Linked DNA regions of Lepisosteus oculatus. The protein of the gene in region 1 interacts with the protein of each later gene in a pairwise test. Links are inferred from orthologs where the notes say so. Each region holds a gene or a part of one and is shown in the gene's direction. Other genes may lie near its edges.

Region 1 (7,896 bases):
TGGTCTTCATGATGCTCTCTGCGCTTTCAACAGAACCTTGAGACTATCACAGAGCAGGTGCATTTATACAGAGACTTGATTACACACAGGTGGATTCTATTTATCACCATCAGTCATTTAGGACAACATTGGATCATTCAGAGATCCTCGCTGAACTTCTGGAGTGAGTTTGCTGCACTGAAAGTAAAGGGGCCGAATAATTTTGCACGCCCCACTTTTCATTTTTTTATTAGTTAAAAAAGTTTCAAAAATCCAATAGATTTCGTTCCACTTCACAATTGTGTCCCACTTGTTGGTGATTCTTCACATAAAATAAAAAAATTATATCTTTATGTTTGAAGCCTGAAATGTGGCAAAAGGTTGAAAAGTTCAAGGGGGCCGAATACTTTCGCAAGGCACTGTAAGTTTCATGTGATCAAGCACTGCCCACTGCTCAATAAAAGGTCTTTACTTCTACAGACTTACCAGTGAAGAGCTGGACATTGCCTTTCTGTTCACTGTCCATCTTCACTCCAAACTTTCATGAAATGTATATCTGGAATGGCATTCATACTTATCCAGCCACTGTCTTACATTCCTAAAAAAAGACAAAACACTCCCATCAGGTGTATTGTTTAAACTTAAAACTTAGCTGTAAACATACTAAACAGCTACGCACAACTAAAAATTAATATTCTTGTAAATGTATCTAATGCAAATTAGTAGTTAAATGGTAAAATAGCTGTCTGACAATGTTTTAATGTGGTTGTATAATTTATTCACGAAACACTGGTGCTGTGAACTTGCATTGTTTAGATTGTGAATTGTACCTGTATGCTTTCTTTTGCAGTTTGTAGGCACTTAAAAGTGAATGAGTAGCTGAGGCTTTGGCAATATTTTTCAAACCATACATACTCTGTATAAACACGTTTCCTGCAGTAACACAACTGATACCAATAAATGTTGAGCTTTTATTTTTTATTTTTTTTATTTTGAGCTCTACCCTAAATTAACTGTATAAATTGATTATCAATGAAACTACACAATCTATAATTATGATTTCTTCCGTAGTCCCTCGCTTACTCTACATACAGTATCAAGTTCACGTTTATTTGTCATACCAGCCATATACAAGTATACAGTGGAACGAAATATCGAGTATACGATGTAGATTAAATAACAGCAGCAACAAAGCATGGTAAGACACATACCACTGAGATGCTTTTGTGCATAAAAACGGTGCATGACATCACCCTGCGCAAACAAATACAATATATAGCATGCTTCACAGTTGTGCTATTCCATCTTACTTTTGTTTCTTTTAGATACGAAGGAAATCCAGAGGAACAACAAATCTCTGTTCACCGGGGTAACGCATAACTCTCCACTCCTGCACCAGAAAAGACGGGTTCATTTCGCTTTCACTGCAGAGTAGTCTACAAAATCATATACATACTGTAGCGATAAGATAAAAACAAACTAACGTATTTAATATTTCAACGCCTTTAACTGGATCTACTCATTTGAATACAACTATGGAGTAAACATTAAATCACAAAATGAACAAGAGAAACTTATTTTTTCTTCAAAACCTTTTTTAACACGATTCGTTGCACAGAAAAAAAATACATTTGAGTCAGAAACACCGACTTAACTACCTACCTTTTAAATTCAGGCTACTAAGTCTTACAACCCTACAGTACTTCACGTGGGCATGCTAAATTATAAAACGAATGCTGCATATTTATTAAATTATTTTTTTTACCACAAGCCTTAACTGCTCAGAATTCTTCCAAGTTGTTGCGAGGGGAAGATATCAAATATGAATCGATACAACTGTGAGTAAATTGAAGTAAAGCTAACTACACTCACACTTCCTCACATCCCTCAGAGTTCACGTCTGCGCAGAATCGGCGCGATACCTGTCGCGGCTGCTAACAGAGCGGAAGAGCTGCTTAGCCAACCATGGTTGGCGTTTCACTCCCCGTGCTACTGCCACCTAGTCTGGGAATGTAAATGTCCTTCGATTCATTTTTCCAGTGGGTTACATACTAGATAGGCAAAGTCATTCTAAAGTTAAGCAAATATTAATGTGTGGAAAAAAGGTGGAACACTAAAATACTATGTTACGGATACGGATATACGGATGTTTCAGTAATGTACTCATGCAAAGTATTGCCACTATAATTCACCTGAACCTTATCCATACTACATTGAGATAGTCACAGTACTAGAAGTTATTGAGAAAAAAAGCTCTTTCTCATAGAAATGGTCTGCAGGCCACAGAGGGTGGAAACAAGGGACCCAAGAACAGGTTGAGAACATGCAAACTCCACACAGAACACACCCTAGCCTAGAATTAAAGACAGGATACCTAGAGCAGTGAAGCACCAGCAGTAACCATCACACTGCCATTATAAGGACAATTACCTCACTATATATACTTCATATAGGTCTTTCCCTTTCCCACTGTCTATACAGTGTCTTGTAAAAGAATTAACCCTCAGTAAAATTCCCACTTTTTCTGAGCTTGCAATCATGACACTTTCAAATTGGAGTTTATATTTATAATCTGCTCCAAACTGAGAGATCTAAAAAAATGCTGATGATATGTAGATTCTGAAGACAGTCAGTAGATTCTCAATTGCTTAAGTATTCATCCTCTTTTCAACTGCAACTCTAAAGTTGCTGAAGCTTTTTCATGTGAAGATTTTTCAGGTGAAAATAAATATATTTGATAGGTCTCAAAAATGGTGTAATATTCTCTGTCTATGCATAATCAAAGAGGTTTAACATGACTTTGGAGTAAATATCTTTGTTTCTGCAAGTCCCCTTAGGTGGATATTGAATTTAATGTCATGTGTCTCGTAGTGATATAAGCAATTGAGAAAAAAGACCAAAGAGATAAAATGATGGAGAGTCACAGACTAGAAGAAGGTTACTTATCGCTTTTAGTTCAGTGAATTCCAACATTAAGAAGTATAGTGTGCATCATACCACCCAGATACTACTTAGATCATACTGCAAATTACTGTAAGTTCATTTATAAAAAGTCACATACCTATACTTTTTTAATTAATCAAAATTTCATGTTAGAAGGTTTTGATCAATATTTCTGCAAGACACGATAATCTTGCACATAATAGTTAAAACATGTACTGTAACTATTTTATATGTTTTATATGACAGGAATTCTACTGTAAGTTCATTTATAAAAAGTCACATACCTATACTTTTTTAATTAATCAAATTTCATATTAGAAGGTTTTGATCAATATTTCTGCAAGACACGATAATCTTGCAACATAATAGTTAAAACATGTACTGTAACTATTTTATATGTTTTATACTCCACGGCCGAAACGTTGTGTTCTCTTTCTTCTTTTTTTCAGCATGGAATAAACCTATTACTTGTTCCTTTGCAGCCTACGCATGCTGACGCAGCTACCCACCGGAATTATTTTATGTGTATTTTATATTATAGCACTTATTATATGTCTTATATCTGATTATCAGATGCCCTGGATCTGACTGCCTGTTTGTGATGGATGAACCATTGAACTTTGTGTTGTAATTAGATTTGTTAAAAACATGCACATGGTCTCACAGATAATTGTAAATAACATTCCAAAGCCCAAACTGAATGGAAATTGGGCAGACATACCATAATGGAATATGTTATTTTATAATAAAACTTGATTTCTTACTGTTAGGTGACAACAGCAGTTAGCTTTATTTCAGATATCACCTTGCACTTGCTGGGGCATTGATCTGGCACTGAGGTATGGCAGAAAATATTTCATCCTTAAGGCTTTGAGAAAGCATTGTATCTCCAAGGGGCATTCATTATACTGTACTCTAGTACTGTATATAGTTTTTCCCTTTCTGTTTCTCTTTTTCATTTAGATAAATCTTGTAGAAGGATTATTTGACATTTTATTCTAAACAGTAACCTCATCTGGAAGAGGACTTGTTTCCTTTTTCTCCAGCTTTTTATTCTCTCCGGTATTTTGGAAAACTCTGTTACTTGTGGTAAAGGATTCAAGTGCACATGAAATATGTCAGTTTATAAAATCAATCCACTGAATTTCTAATCACTTTGTCTAATTCAGGGGGCGGTGGAGACAGAGACAATGCCGGTATGCAATGGGCGCAAGGTGGGAGTACACCCTGGATGTGATGCATCCCAGAAGTTTTCCCAGAAGTCAATTAACCTACCACTGTGTCTTTAGACTGTGAGAGGAAACTGGAGCACCCAGCAGAAACTTGCACAAACACTGGAATCACATATAAACGTCACGCAGATGGCACCCCATGTCTGGAACTGGACCCACGCTCCCCTCTTATAAAAAGGTAAAAATATTAATTTATACACGGGAAATAATTTTCTCACATATTCTAATATATTATAATATGCGTCTTGTACCACATATCTCCAAAAATAACGTTAAGGTATACATTTTTATATTTCTCCTCTACATGAGATGTCAGCAAAATTATATCATTTCGAATCATCTGAATTAATTTCAGCACTTTTATGAGATGTGTATGCTAGCAGTTACGCTAAGAGGTTACGTTCTTGGGATACTTTTTCATCTCCCAAATTATCATAACTGAAGCTACATTAAAACAGAATTAAAAGAGAATGCATACTACTTAGCGCATTTACTGTTAATTTTACCGGGTGCTCTACACTGCAACTTTAGAAGGCTGTTTTAATACATCCAGTCCAGAAGGGGAGCTGTAGCTATTGTCTTTTCTTGAGATTACCATGGTGAGGCGCATTATCTTGAGGAGCCATATTGAAACTGTGCAGCACGATCGTTCTGTGGATAGTATATCTTTGAATCTTTTATTTTTGTTTTATTTTATTTTTCTTTCCAGGAGCTTGAAATATTAACATTTAACTTTAAACATGCCGCGTATTATGATCAAAGGTGGTGTGTGGCGAAATACCGAGGTAATGTAACGGCCTTATTTTATAGCTTGGCATGGCAAATGAAAACATTGAAGTACAGATTGTAGTTATGTGTAATTTTTATTCTTCTATCGGGATAACATAAATTAGAATGATTTTCCTGTTTGCCTGTGATTTGATCATGTTTCATGAGTTGCATCTAGCTACTGCCAATACTTACCTTTTGCTCGCAAAATTCATGGCCTAAGTTCAGTGATGTGCAACTATGTCAGCTTTACCTATTTTGTGCTTTTCGTTGAATTGTGGCATGTTATGTAATTCCAAAACGTTTGATTTATTTCTTTATATCTTAAATTAAGTGTGTTGTAAGGGTATCCAATAAACTGCAATTGTGTTGAGAAAACATAGTAAAAATACTATGATGATGTTGGTTCTAGCGGAGACCTAGCCACGTTATAGTACTGTACGATAACAGCAACGTAAGTTAACTAAAACATGCTGATGAAATGTTGTTTGATCTACTGCTGACCACGAGTTTTCTGTTAGCTACTTTAATCATTTCCGATTTGTTAAAACATTTAATTTGTTTAACCATTTGGAGAAAAAAAACAGCTAATATTAACAGTTCTTTTTTGTTTTTGTACATCAGGTATAACATTTGCCAGTAGTGTCAAGCTTAAATTTGTCTTACGTATATTATCTCGTAAAGAAATGAGCCTAAAAATGCATCCTGTTCCTTTAATTTTAGGATGAAATCCTTAAAGCAGCGGTTATGAAATATGGCAAAAACCAATGGTCTCGGATTGCCTCACTGTTGCACAGAAAGTCTGCAAAACAATGCAAAGCCCGATGGTGAGTACAGGCTTTCATGAGCTGGAGTAGCACTGTAGGGTTAAATCTTTGATTCTAACACCAACGTATTCTTGTTTGATTCACTCAGGGTTTTTTAATATCGAATGCTTTGCTGTAAGAGTACAGTAGGTTGTAATAGCTTTTTCCCACTTGCGATGGTAGGTGTCGTCTGTAAGAATTCCAAAAAAACACTTCTAAAAGGTCTTAAAGGAACAAGTTAAAGGTTTATTCCATGCTGAAAAGAAAGAAAGGAAACACAATGTTTTTGGCTTCTGTAGCCTTCTGCGGGTGTGAGGTCTTATAGGCACATTATTTTAAAAAAAGCTATTTTTATGTAATTTCAGCTAAATGCTTGTTCTACTTGTGCACCCTTTAGTGTTGTGAAGGTCAGTTTCGGTGGCCTGCAGACATCTGCATCTGTGGAGGAGCACTGCCAAATTGGAGGCAGGGTGGTGTAGCAGTTAGCATTTAGCTTAGCTAACCTAGCACTGCAGTTAGCACTTAACACAGCTGAGGCTTAGCCTTAAGGTTCTGGGTTGGATTTTGTATTAGGGCACATTATGTGAGCATGTTTTGAATGCTACCTGTGTTCACATGGTTTTACTCTAGGAACTCTGGCTTCCATGCCCATTGCAGTGAAAAACTAATGATTGGCAATGCTGAGCTAATCATACCAGTTAGTAGCACGATGACCAGGAACTTGGAGTACCTCTAGTGCTTTTCCTTCTCTAGTATAGCAATACTAACGTTCTGATTAAAAAACGAACAGCAGCAAGCCATTTGACAACGCCCTTTAGCATGTCATAGAATGTGTCACTAGCCCTGACACCACTTCGCTGACACCAGGTGTCCTGATCATCTTCTCATCTGCTGGAATTGGAACAGTCTTGAGACCACTCTGCCTCACATTTTAATCAATTTGGTTGTCCTCCTGCGGAAACTTTTAAATATGTTTTCAAACGTTCGCATGTAATCATTTAAATGTTTTTAGAAAATATGTTATCTAAAATAGAACAGTATAGTGGCCCAGAGGTTAGCATTGCTGCCTTGCAGTTCTGGGGGCCCTGGGGTCTATTCCAGACCTGGAGTGATATCTACATGGGCTTTTTATGTTAACTCCCTGTTCTTGTGGGTTGCCTCCGGTTGCTCCAGTTTGCTCCCACAATCTAAAAACATACTAGTAGGTGAACTTAGGAATATTAGTCCTGGTGTACGTGCATGGGTACATGTCTATTTTTTTGTCTGTCCGGCCTGTGTTGGACTGGCGTGCCATCCAAAATTTACCCTACCTTTTCACCCGTTCCTTGTTGGGATAGGCTCTGGCTCCCCTGTAACCCTGAATTGGAAGCAACACTTAGAAAATGGCTGTTATTTAAGATAAAGCTTCATAAATGTGTAAGCATGCAAAACTATAATACGTAAAAGAGCATCCCTCATGCTTCTGTTAACATCTGTCATCAGTTATCACATCCAGTAGTTTGTGTAACAACACTCATGCATTCTCTGTGCTGCACTAATGTTATATTTGGCAGTTTTCGTTACCAGATTGGCTTTAATGGTCAAAAGCACAGTGTTAAGGGTGCTCAACCAGTAAAGGGGTTTGCATAGGTGCAGATTGAGTTCTAAAACCTAGGTATCTTTGGATCGAGATGTCATTAACCATCTGAGACCAGGATTTCCCAAGTGATGGAGCACAGTTGACTCACAGCTGGTAAGCGTAAGGTTGGGATTAGCTGCCCAGAGCTCTTGGAAGTTCTTTGGTAGCCCCTGTGGTGTTCCAGGGACATGCAGACTTGTGTGGCTGTCTCTAACAGATCATGCAGTCAGCTCTGATCCTAAGGTAGGGAAGAAACTGCCTGCTACTCCTTATTCTCCCTTGTGTGCAGTTGCTATGCCAAGACCTGAGAAATGCACAATTGGCATTTCCATGTTGGGTGGGTATACAGCAAAATTAATTGAAAGAGAGCAAAACGCCCTTATAACTTAATTTTCATGCACTGTTTTTCTTTTATTGAATGCTGGAGTCTTTAGCCCTTGTTTTGGAGTGTCCCAGTCCACTTAGTGTTATAGATTTCACTAAATCCCTAGCTCTTTTAAACACTTGGATGTTGTTTATTAATTAAGCAATTGATTTGTTCATTTAAGGG
Region 2 (8,084 bases), about 44 Mb from region 1:
AGTCCAAAGGCATACTGGCGGGTTAGTGGGCTTCTGGGAAAATCGGCCCTGGTGTGAGTGGGTGCGCGTCTGTGTTTGTTGCGTCAATGTGTGGATTGCTGGCCCATTCCGGGTGTGTCCTGCCTTCTGCCTGTTGCTCGCTGGGATAGGCTCCCCCGCAACCCCAGATAGGAAACAAAGCGGTCAGAAAATAGATGGACGGATGGATTAATCTTTGGTTTAGGTCACAAGGTCTGCTGTCTTTATGTGTGCAAGTGTGACTGTTGTGGTTCCGCACGGCCTCATGCCCTCTGCCACCCCATTCCGTCCTGCAACGCCTGGGGAGCGAACCCAGGGCTCCAGCATAACACAACAGGGAACCAGCCGCATGAGCTAAAGGAGACCTCCCCCAGCCCAGACGGCTGAGGTCCCCGCTACGCGCAGTGAGGGACGATGACGTCACCGTATCCGAACTAGGTCCGCTACACAAGCCTTTAGGGCCACCATGATGTTGGGTAAATAGACATTCCTTTTCTGCGCCTCTCACCTGAAGGGTGCCTTGGCCATGTTCATGTTTCAGAGCGAAGCACTACAGTTGCAAAAAGACCGGCCAAGCACATGTTGCAGGAGAGTGGGAACGGTGTGTTTTTCACCCATCCTACGGGAATGCCATTTGTTCCTCTGCCTACTAACCGGCTGCCAGGATCAGAAAATCGCCGAGATAGCTTTTTTTTTTTCCTCGCTATGTGTTCTGCAAACCAAACCCTGATCCTTTACAAACGAATCTGAAACTAAACGTGGACGCATTGATTCTTATGTCTCTGCCTTTGGTACTGCTGTGTCTGTGACACTCATATCACTGCGCTGTGGAAAGTACGTACAAAGCATTGCAGTGCTCCACTCACTTGAGGTTGCCATGGCTGCGCACTGCTATGGTAATAACTTAAGAGGAAGAGGTCTTTGTTGGTATCAGCGCTGCTCCTTTTCAGATTTTTTTAAAGACGGTCGTCTGAGTGGATGAATGCCCCTTTGCTTCGGTTTGACGGTAAAAATATAATGGCTCTCTAAAAGGGGCGACCTCTCTGAGAGCAAAATGGAAAAAAGGCCTCTCACCAGAGGGTGGCAGGAGTTCATGTTGGATCGTGGCAGCACAAATCGCCACCTCCTGGCAGCTGGCGAATCCGAACTTGAAGACTCACGAAATACGCACCCCACAACTTATTTTTATTATTTGACTGACACCTGTAGCCCACACGAACAAAGTTTATACAGCCTGGAATTTTACCTTGCTTACCTTGTGACATACTGTACCTGGCTTGAGGTTACCACACGATTGCCCCATCTAGAGTTTTTGCACCTCCAACAGCCCTAGCTGCCTACCAGCAGCCACATCACCCTGCAACTCACAACTGGCAGCCCACTGAAGCTCAGCAAGTGTGAGCCTGGTCAGTCCCTGGATGGGAGACCTCCTGGGAAAAACTAAAGTTGCTGCTGGAAGAGGTGTTAGTGGGGCCAGTAGGGGGTGCTCACCCTGTGGTCCATGTGGGTCCTAATGCCCCAGTATAGTGATGGGCACTATACTGTAAAAAAGCACCTTCCTTTGGATGAGACATAAAACTGAGGTCCTGACCCTCTGTGGTCATTAAAAATCTCAGGGTTTCTTGAAAACAGTAGGGGTATTACCCCAGTGTCCTGGCCAAATTCGCCATTGGCCTTTACCAATGACAGTCAGTTTGTGATTTTGAATTTTACCATTTCATTTTGCCACTGTCAAGAGGAGAACCTCCTGCCTCATCTAACAATAGGGAGATCAAAGGAGTTTCAGTCTTCATAACCCTCACCATGGCTGCCTATAAGACAGTTCTGACGTTTTTCTTCCTCCAAAGATGAAGAGTCTTACCAGTTAATCCACGTGGGCTAAATCATAATGAGTGTGGAAGGTTGGGAAAGTGTGCCTGCCATCTAAATCCTTTTGTCAAAATCTAGCATTTTATAAAGCACCATTTGAATCTTCCAAGATACAGAGTTTTGCATACAGAGTTCACTGAATAGGAGTCAAAGTTCTCTGTCAGGCAAAGCATTTCTAAATATGCTTATCTGTAATCAAAAGGGCCTCTGCCAGCAATATTATGAATGTAGTTTGGAAAGGGAATGCTTGGACTGATGTCAAGAGAACAGCAGCACATCTCACTGAGGTACATAGGGCTGACTGAGCCTTGCTCAGAATCATGAAGCCCCTAAAATGAACATTTTACACATCAAGCAGTGCTTACTACCAAGGAACCAGAGTTGTGATTCTTAGGAAGTTCTCTTTCTTTCTATCTCCTCTGAAGTCAGGAATAAAACTAACAGAAATGGAGGTTTATACAAGCAATACCTGCATATTAGAAAGGGGTTGGCAAACCTTTAATCATCCCTTTTTACGGTTGCCAAGAGACTTTTATTCCCATAAATCACTACAAAATGGATGTTCTGTTAAAAAAATTATGTTAGTCTTATTAAACAGAAAATCACAGTTTTCTCTACCACCTGTGCATACTGTTTGACAGGGACACTGGGGAACACAGGATGTCTTGCTGAATGGCTCACAATAAATGAAATCATAAAGCCCAATTAAACACCATTCTCATATACCAATAAAACATGAGTTATTAAGATTAATTTCATAGTGTTATTCATCTGTGTACTGTTCCTGCAGAGGAAATGGCAGCAAATCTGAAATCTGCAGCTTGGTTTCTTCAGATGTTCCTATAAGGAAGGCAATCACCATTTTGTTTTAAGCAACAAGTGCAGTGATTATTCTGGAGCTCTGTGCCTACAGACTGAGCTATCGTGACGCGTGGGTCAAGGGGAGAGCGTTTAATCAAACTGTTCTGCAATGTGATTATCAAAACCAACGGGACCTCCTGGGTCTCATTCTGAGGCTGTGCGTCACAGGCTTTTCAAACAGTTCAGTTCAACTTGTTTGCAAAAGTATTAGTTATCATACCTCCAACACGCATCTCACCCTTCCTCAGCTAAAGCTAAAGGCAGCTTTTAAATTGTAGCTTTTTGTTTAGACTACAAAATGTTTGGAGGACAATTGGATCTGTAATGGCAGCAACCTGATCTGAATCCAGCACTGTAAGAAACAGGATATTTAAAACATGCCTCATCGGTCCACTTCTTCTTACACCCCAGGTGCTCCTTTGTCGACGAGGAGTCGAAGGGCAGGTCTGGCGCACGTGAAAACAAGCTTTATCCTGTCCCCACACTGGTGTTTTGGGATTGGTCAAGATTCCTGCTCGGCCAACAGCTAGGAGTGTAATTTAGATCTCGAGCAGGGCTAATGATTAACGTCCGACTCGGAGCTGAGCACAGGTGAGGAAATATCAGATGACAGTTTTCCTTTATGGCATGGGAGGGCTCACGAGGGGGAGGGTGGGCGTCTAACAGCGTCTAATCCAGAGAGGGTGAAGCGCTGAATAAAAGTCAGTTGTGCTCAACTGCCATTGTGCTGCTGCAGGTGCCACCTTCTCCGCAGGAAAAAAAGTGCTGACGATATTCTCAGTTCGGCTGTGTCACACAATAACTCCACAGATCCTGGAACAAGCTATTAATCACACTACTGGAAATCCTCGTAGGCAGACCTTCAGACCATAGCAGAAATGCTTTAAGCCATGAGTTTTCAAACTGGGGAAGATTCTGGATCCTTGACTATTATTCTGTATAAACTGGTGGGGATGTCCCTGTAGGATTAGCACCGGAAATGACTCCCTCGGACTGGCGTAGAGTTTCTGTGAGACCAACTTTATTACAACTATAATACAAATGTATTGTTCCTATTATCTGTTATTTAGCATGATCATTTCTCACCAAACAGCTACAACGCGGCAAAGAAAATGTAAATATATTTTTGAAAGTTACCTCCTTGAGCGAAACTCCCTCAAACCACAGTGTTTATGATTAGGAAGTACTGTATTGTTTGTCACAGGACATTGGAGTCCCACCAAACTTACTGCACCCTGGTCTTGAGGCCAGATTTGGGATTTTACCTGCTACCATCCTTGTATTTCATGGAATCGTGAGAATATGACAGCTCCTTGCTTAAACGTCATTTGAAACCTACTTTCCGATAATTTAGGGTTTAAGAATTGTAATCCCAAATTTTGTATTCGAATGTCACCGGACACGTCCTCCTTAAATATCCGTCCGGAGGAAATGTTCAAATATCTTGAAACGCATCCCCCCCCGTTTTCGTTCTGAACAGGTATGCGATATAAATGATTATAGTATAAATACCACCGGCGGTCCACCCCTCTCACGTCTCCCCTCGCTCGACTGAGCGCCCTCTTATTTTGAATAAATATGGTACCGCTCATCTATTCATTCAAAGCCGGGGGAATGAAATACGCGAAGCTACAATCATAGGGGTGGGCATGGTCAGAGGGTCCACAGGGGGGCTTTTGGCTGGCTCCCCGCTTGCAAGAGATGAGTGCCGCCAGCCTCTGAGTGAGACACACTCATCCACCACGCCCGCTCCCGGGCCTCACTGATGCCGACTGTCACTACAGTAGTGCTACATTCAGCGGTGGTGGAGTAGGAGGAGGAGGAGGAGGAGGGGGGGTGCTGGATAACCATGGCAATGGTGACGTCTTCTCCCTTGCTCTAATTGGAGGAAACCCCGTGGCCCCAGCCGCAGCCTACAGGCCAGTCGAACTTGCCCATTTAAAGCCCGCCTTCTTCCGCGCGCTGCGGTGCTACTGGCGAGCATTTTTGAACTGTAACGGTCGAGCGGTGCGGGACTCACTCTCTCATTGGGGCTCGCGCTCGCCTGGCCCCGCCTCGGCTCTCGTGCTCGGTTGAGACTGGCGGCTGGGCTCCTTTCCTCTCTTCAGCCCTAAAGCGGATCAGCTCGGAGGAGCGGTACGGAGGTAAGCGGAGGTTTGGCGCTGCTTCCCTCGTATTTTAGGGGCGCAGTAAGGAGGGTTGTGCTGGGGGAAGCGACGTGAATGTGCCGTTTGTTGAAGGGCTTGCGTTTATTGAACCCGATAACCGTGTGGTATATCGGACCTGGCGTGTATGGCGGTTCGGGTTTGCCGCATCCATTTTGTCACACAAGGGGAGAAAAAAAAGACTGTCTCGGGAATTGGTTTTCGGCTCATAGGAGCCGCCATTTTATCTAAATCTGTGTTTAAACGCGGAGTTATTCGGATAACTGCCTGCGTGGTTCGTGAATGGGGTCGAAACGCTAAGGAGCAGCGGTGGCGGGGAGACCCGAGTGTCGTCTCGCTTTTTGAGCTGGGCGCTGACACAATGGCGAAATCGCCTCTTAAGACACGGGGGGAATTTCCTGGCCATTATTGCCAAATTGCCGGGGTGGGTAGCGGAGTACGATGTCGTGTCTCTCCGGGTGGTGCTCGCTGCTGCTGCTTGTTCCGAAAGCAAACCTTTGCCGAGCCCCGGGAGGGGGAGACTGACCGCCGCCCGTTTCCCTGCTCTTCAAGGGAGACGGGACCTGCGTGTGTGCGCGTTGGATACAGCCTCCCCGCCCCTGGGTCACGTTAGAAGTACTGGAGAGAGAGAGAGAGAAAAAAAAGATGGCAGGTCCTTTGGTGGTCTCTCGTCAGCCTGGAGACGTGCAGTCTCGATTCAGCCCGACGGGTTTCTTGACAACCGTACGATCGACGCGCACGGATTTGGGCTCGATGCTTGCGCGACGTGTGTGCGTGTAGCTTGCGTGCAGCTCAGCCTCAGTTGCCCACCTCTTTCCCGTTCGGCTCGCAGGCTTCCCACAGGACGTCGCCTGCACGACTGCTGTCTGCTCACCTGCTTGCCCCGCGTCCCCCCGTCCCCGGCCATCGACACCACCGACAGCGCTCAGGCTCTCCGGCGATCCCGGTTCCCCCCCCCCAGCCCGCAGCTGGTCACCCGGCCCGTCCTGAAACACTGCGCCTCGAAGAGAATATCCTGCCCTCAGCCCCACTCCCCCTCCCACACACGCACGATCGGAAGCGGACGCGATGGATAAAACGGAGCTGATCCAGAAGGCCAAGCTGGCGGAGCAGGCCGAGCGCTACGACGACATGGCCGCGTCCATGAAGGAGGTGACCGAGCAGGGGGCCGAGCTGTCCAACGAGGAGAGGAACCTGCTGTCCGTGGCCTACAAGAACGTGGTGGGTGCCCGCAGGTCCGCCTGGAGGGTCATCTCCAGCATCGAGCAGAAGACCGAGGGCAGCGACAAGAAGCTGCAGATGGTCAAGGAGTACCGGGAGAAGGTGGAGTCCGAGCTGCGGGAGATCTGCAACGATGTTCTGGTGAGACCCGCCGCCGCTGCCCGCTTTACCTTCAGATCACCTTCCCAGCTCCCAGCCGGGTCCCCGGACCCCGGGGGCCCGCTCGCAGGCGCGCCGCGGTGGGGTGAGGTCAGGTGATTATTAATAGGAATGTGTAGTGCAGCAAGAGGGGTGGGGTGAGCATGCAGTCCCGTCCTGGTTTCATTTCATTTCTCATCCGTGGCCCTGCTGGAGAAGGGCAGGGGGAGAACGCCCCCACAAGGTGGGAGTTCCCCCTGATCCTTCGGCGTGGGATGTGGAGAGAGGCTGGGGAAGACATGCAGTGGCTGGCAGGGGACCGAGGTGTTTGGTGAGGTCGTGTGTTTTGAGTAGAGCGATGCTGCCCTTAGTCCCAGTCCAGCAGAGAAGCTGCCAGTCCCGAGTTCTGGTCCCAGGGCCGTGCTGATCTGCAGCTGGGAGGCTGGGCTGTTGAGGGCGTCGTCGGCCCGTTGCAGCAGATCGCCTACCCAGGCCTCCCACAGATCAATACGTGATGCAGCAGTTTCGTTTGGCTGACCGACGCTGTGGGGATTGAGCAGCACGTTGATAGAGGAGCAGGACTGGAACGGGGCAGCAGTGAGCGAGGGCACCACTGGGTGGGCTACACAGGGGCCTGATGGCAGGTGTCCGAGCTCTGCATCCCGCTATTAGCACAGCAAGTCTTCTGGCCAAGAAATTCTATTGATGGGTCTGAGGAACTTTAAAACGGGTCAGATTTTATTTTAATTTGAATTGTTTTATGACTTGCTGTGGTGGTTTAGTTTAAAGGACGTTTTCATAGGTTAATTTTTCATATTTTTCTACCCTAGTCCCTTCAGCAGAGATTCACATCTTCAATAGAAATTACATGTGATAGGACTGTGCTTGTATTGTGAAGTGGGTGTATTGGGGTTGTTGGTATTTTAATTTGTATCCTTTGAGTTTTACTGTTGACGTATTAATTGTGCTTTAAGATTTTTTGTTAGATAATTGTAAGTATTGTACTCATCTGAATCCTCATTATATCGTCTGAAGTGTAATTCACTCCCTTTTCTTGAGCTGTACCAGGCCCTGGGTTCTACGTGTGGTATTAAAATGCACTTTTAATGCAATTAAATGGTGTTTGGTAAGCTACACTAAAATTATAGCTCAATGTTTTCAGTGGTAATATAGATTTTAAAGTGGGATAGGAAAAAAGTGGATCATACCTTAAATATCAGGGTGTGTACATCTTTCATACATGAAGGGCTTTGAAGTGTTACCTCAGGCGGGTACATTACACCGGTTTAGGATTATTATTAGGTTTGAAGTGGTAATGAACCATTTTTGTAAGGTTATATTTTTTTAATTAAAAAATTGGGAAGGGAAAAAAAAGTGCCCTTTAATGTTTAATATACAGAGTAACCGTTAAAATACATGTTGAAAACGTGGGATTTAAATTTCACATTTACATATTTGATTCATATCTCAAAACTTTATAAAGGCTAATTCTTCGTGACCTATCTAAGTTGACTACTGGCACTGTTGAGAGGTTGTGACTTTTGTGGTAAGTCTCCAGTTTTCATACTAAATGGACAGTTGAACTTTTACATTCAATGTGTATATTTAACTGGTAAATCAATACTATGTACTTACCTGATAAAAAGTAATTGATCTAATATTTAATACCCAAAGGCTCTGTGCTAAATCTACAACCAAAGAGCTGGGAGTATTTTATAATAGTTTATAAAATCAGTTTTAAATTTTAGAAACATACTTCCTAGAGGTGAAATGCTGATTCATTGAAAATCTGAGTACATAAATGAAGCCTAA

Evidence for each region.
Region 2: the proteins of cdc5l (region 1) and 14-3-3 protein theta interact in a two-hybrid assay, tested with the Homo sapiens proteins (2 studies listed by BioGRID and IntAct). The link is inferred for Lepisosteus oculatus from reciprocal best matches to the Homo sapiens genes CDC5L and YWHAQ.

The regions. Positions count from the first base shown.
Region 1 is NC_090697.1:56,000,743-56,008,638, forward strand, and holds the start of cdc5l (cell division cycle 5-like protein), read left to right. Parts: upstream 1-4,759; 5' UTR 4,760-4,894; coding exon 4,895-4,939; intron 4,940-5,645; coding exon 5,646-5,749; intron 5,750-7,896. Other genes in the region: zinc finger protein 260-like, read right to left, coding at 466-505.
Region 2 is NC_090697.1:11,938,638-11,946,721, forward strand, and holds the start of 14-3-3 protein theta, read left to right. Parts: upstream 1-4,784; 5' UTR 4,785-4,892; intron 4,893-5,745; 5' UTR 5,746-5,981; coding exon 5,982-6,275; intron 6,276-8,084. UniProt on the Homo sapiens protein: Adapter protein implicated in the regulation of a large spectrum of both general and specialized signaling pathways. Binds to a large number of partners, usually by recognition of a phosphoserine or phosphothreonine motif.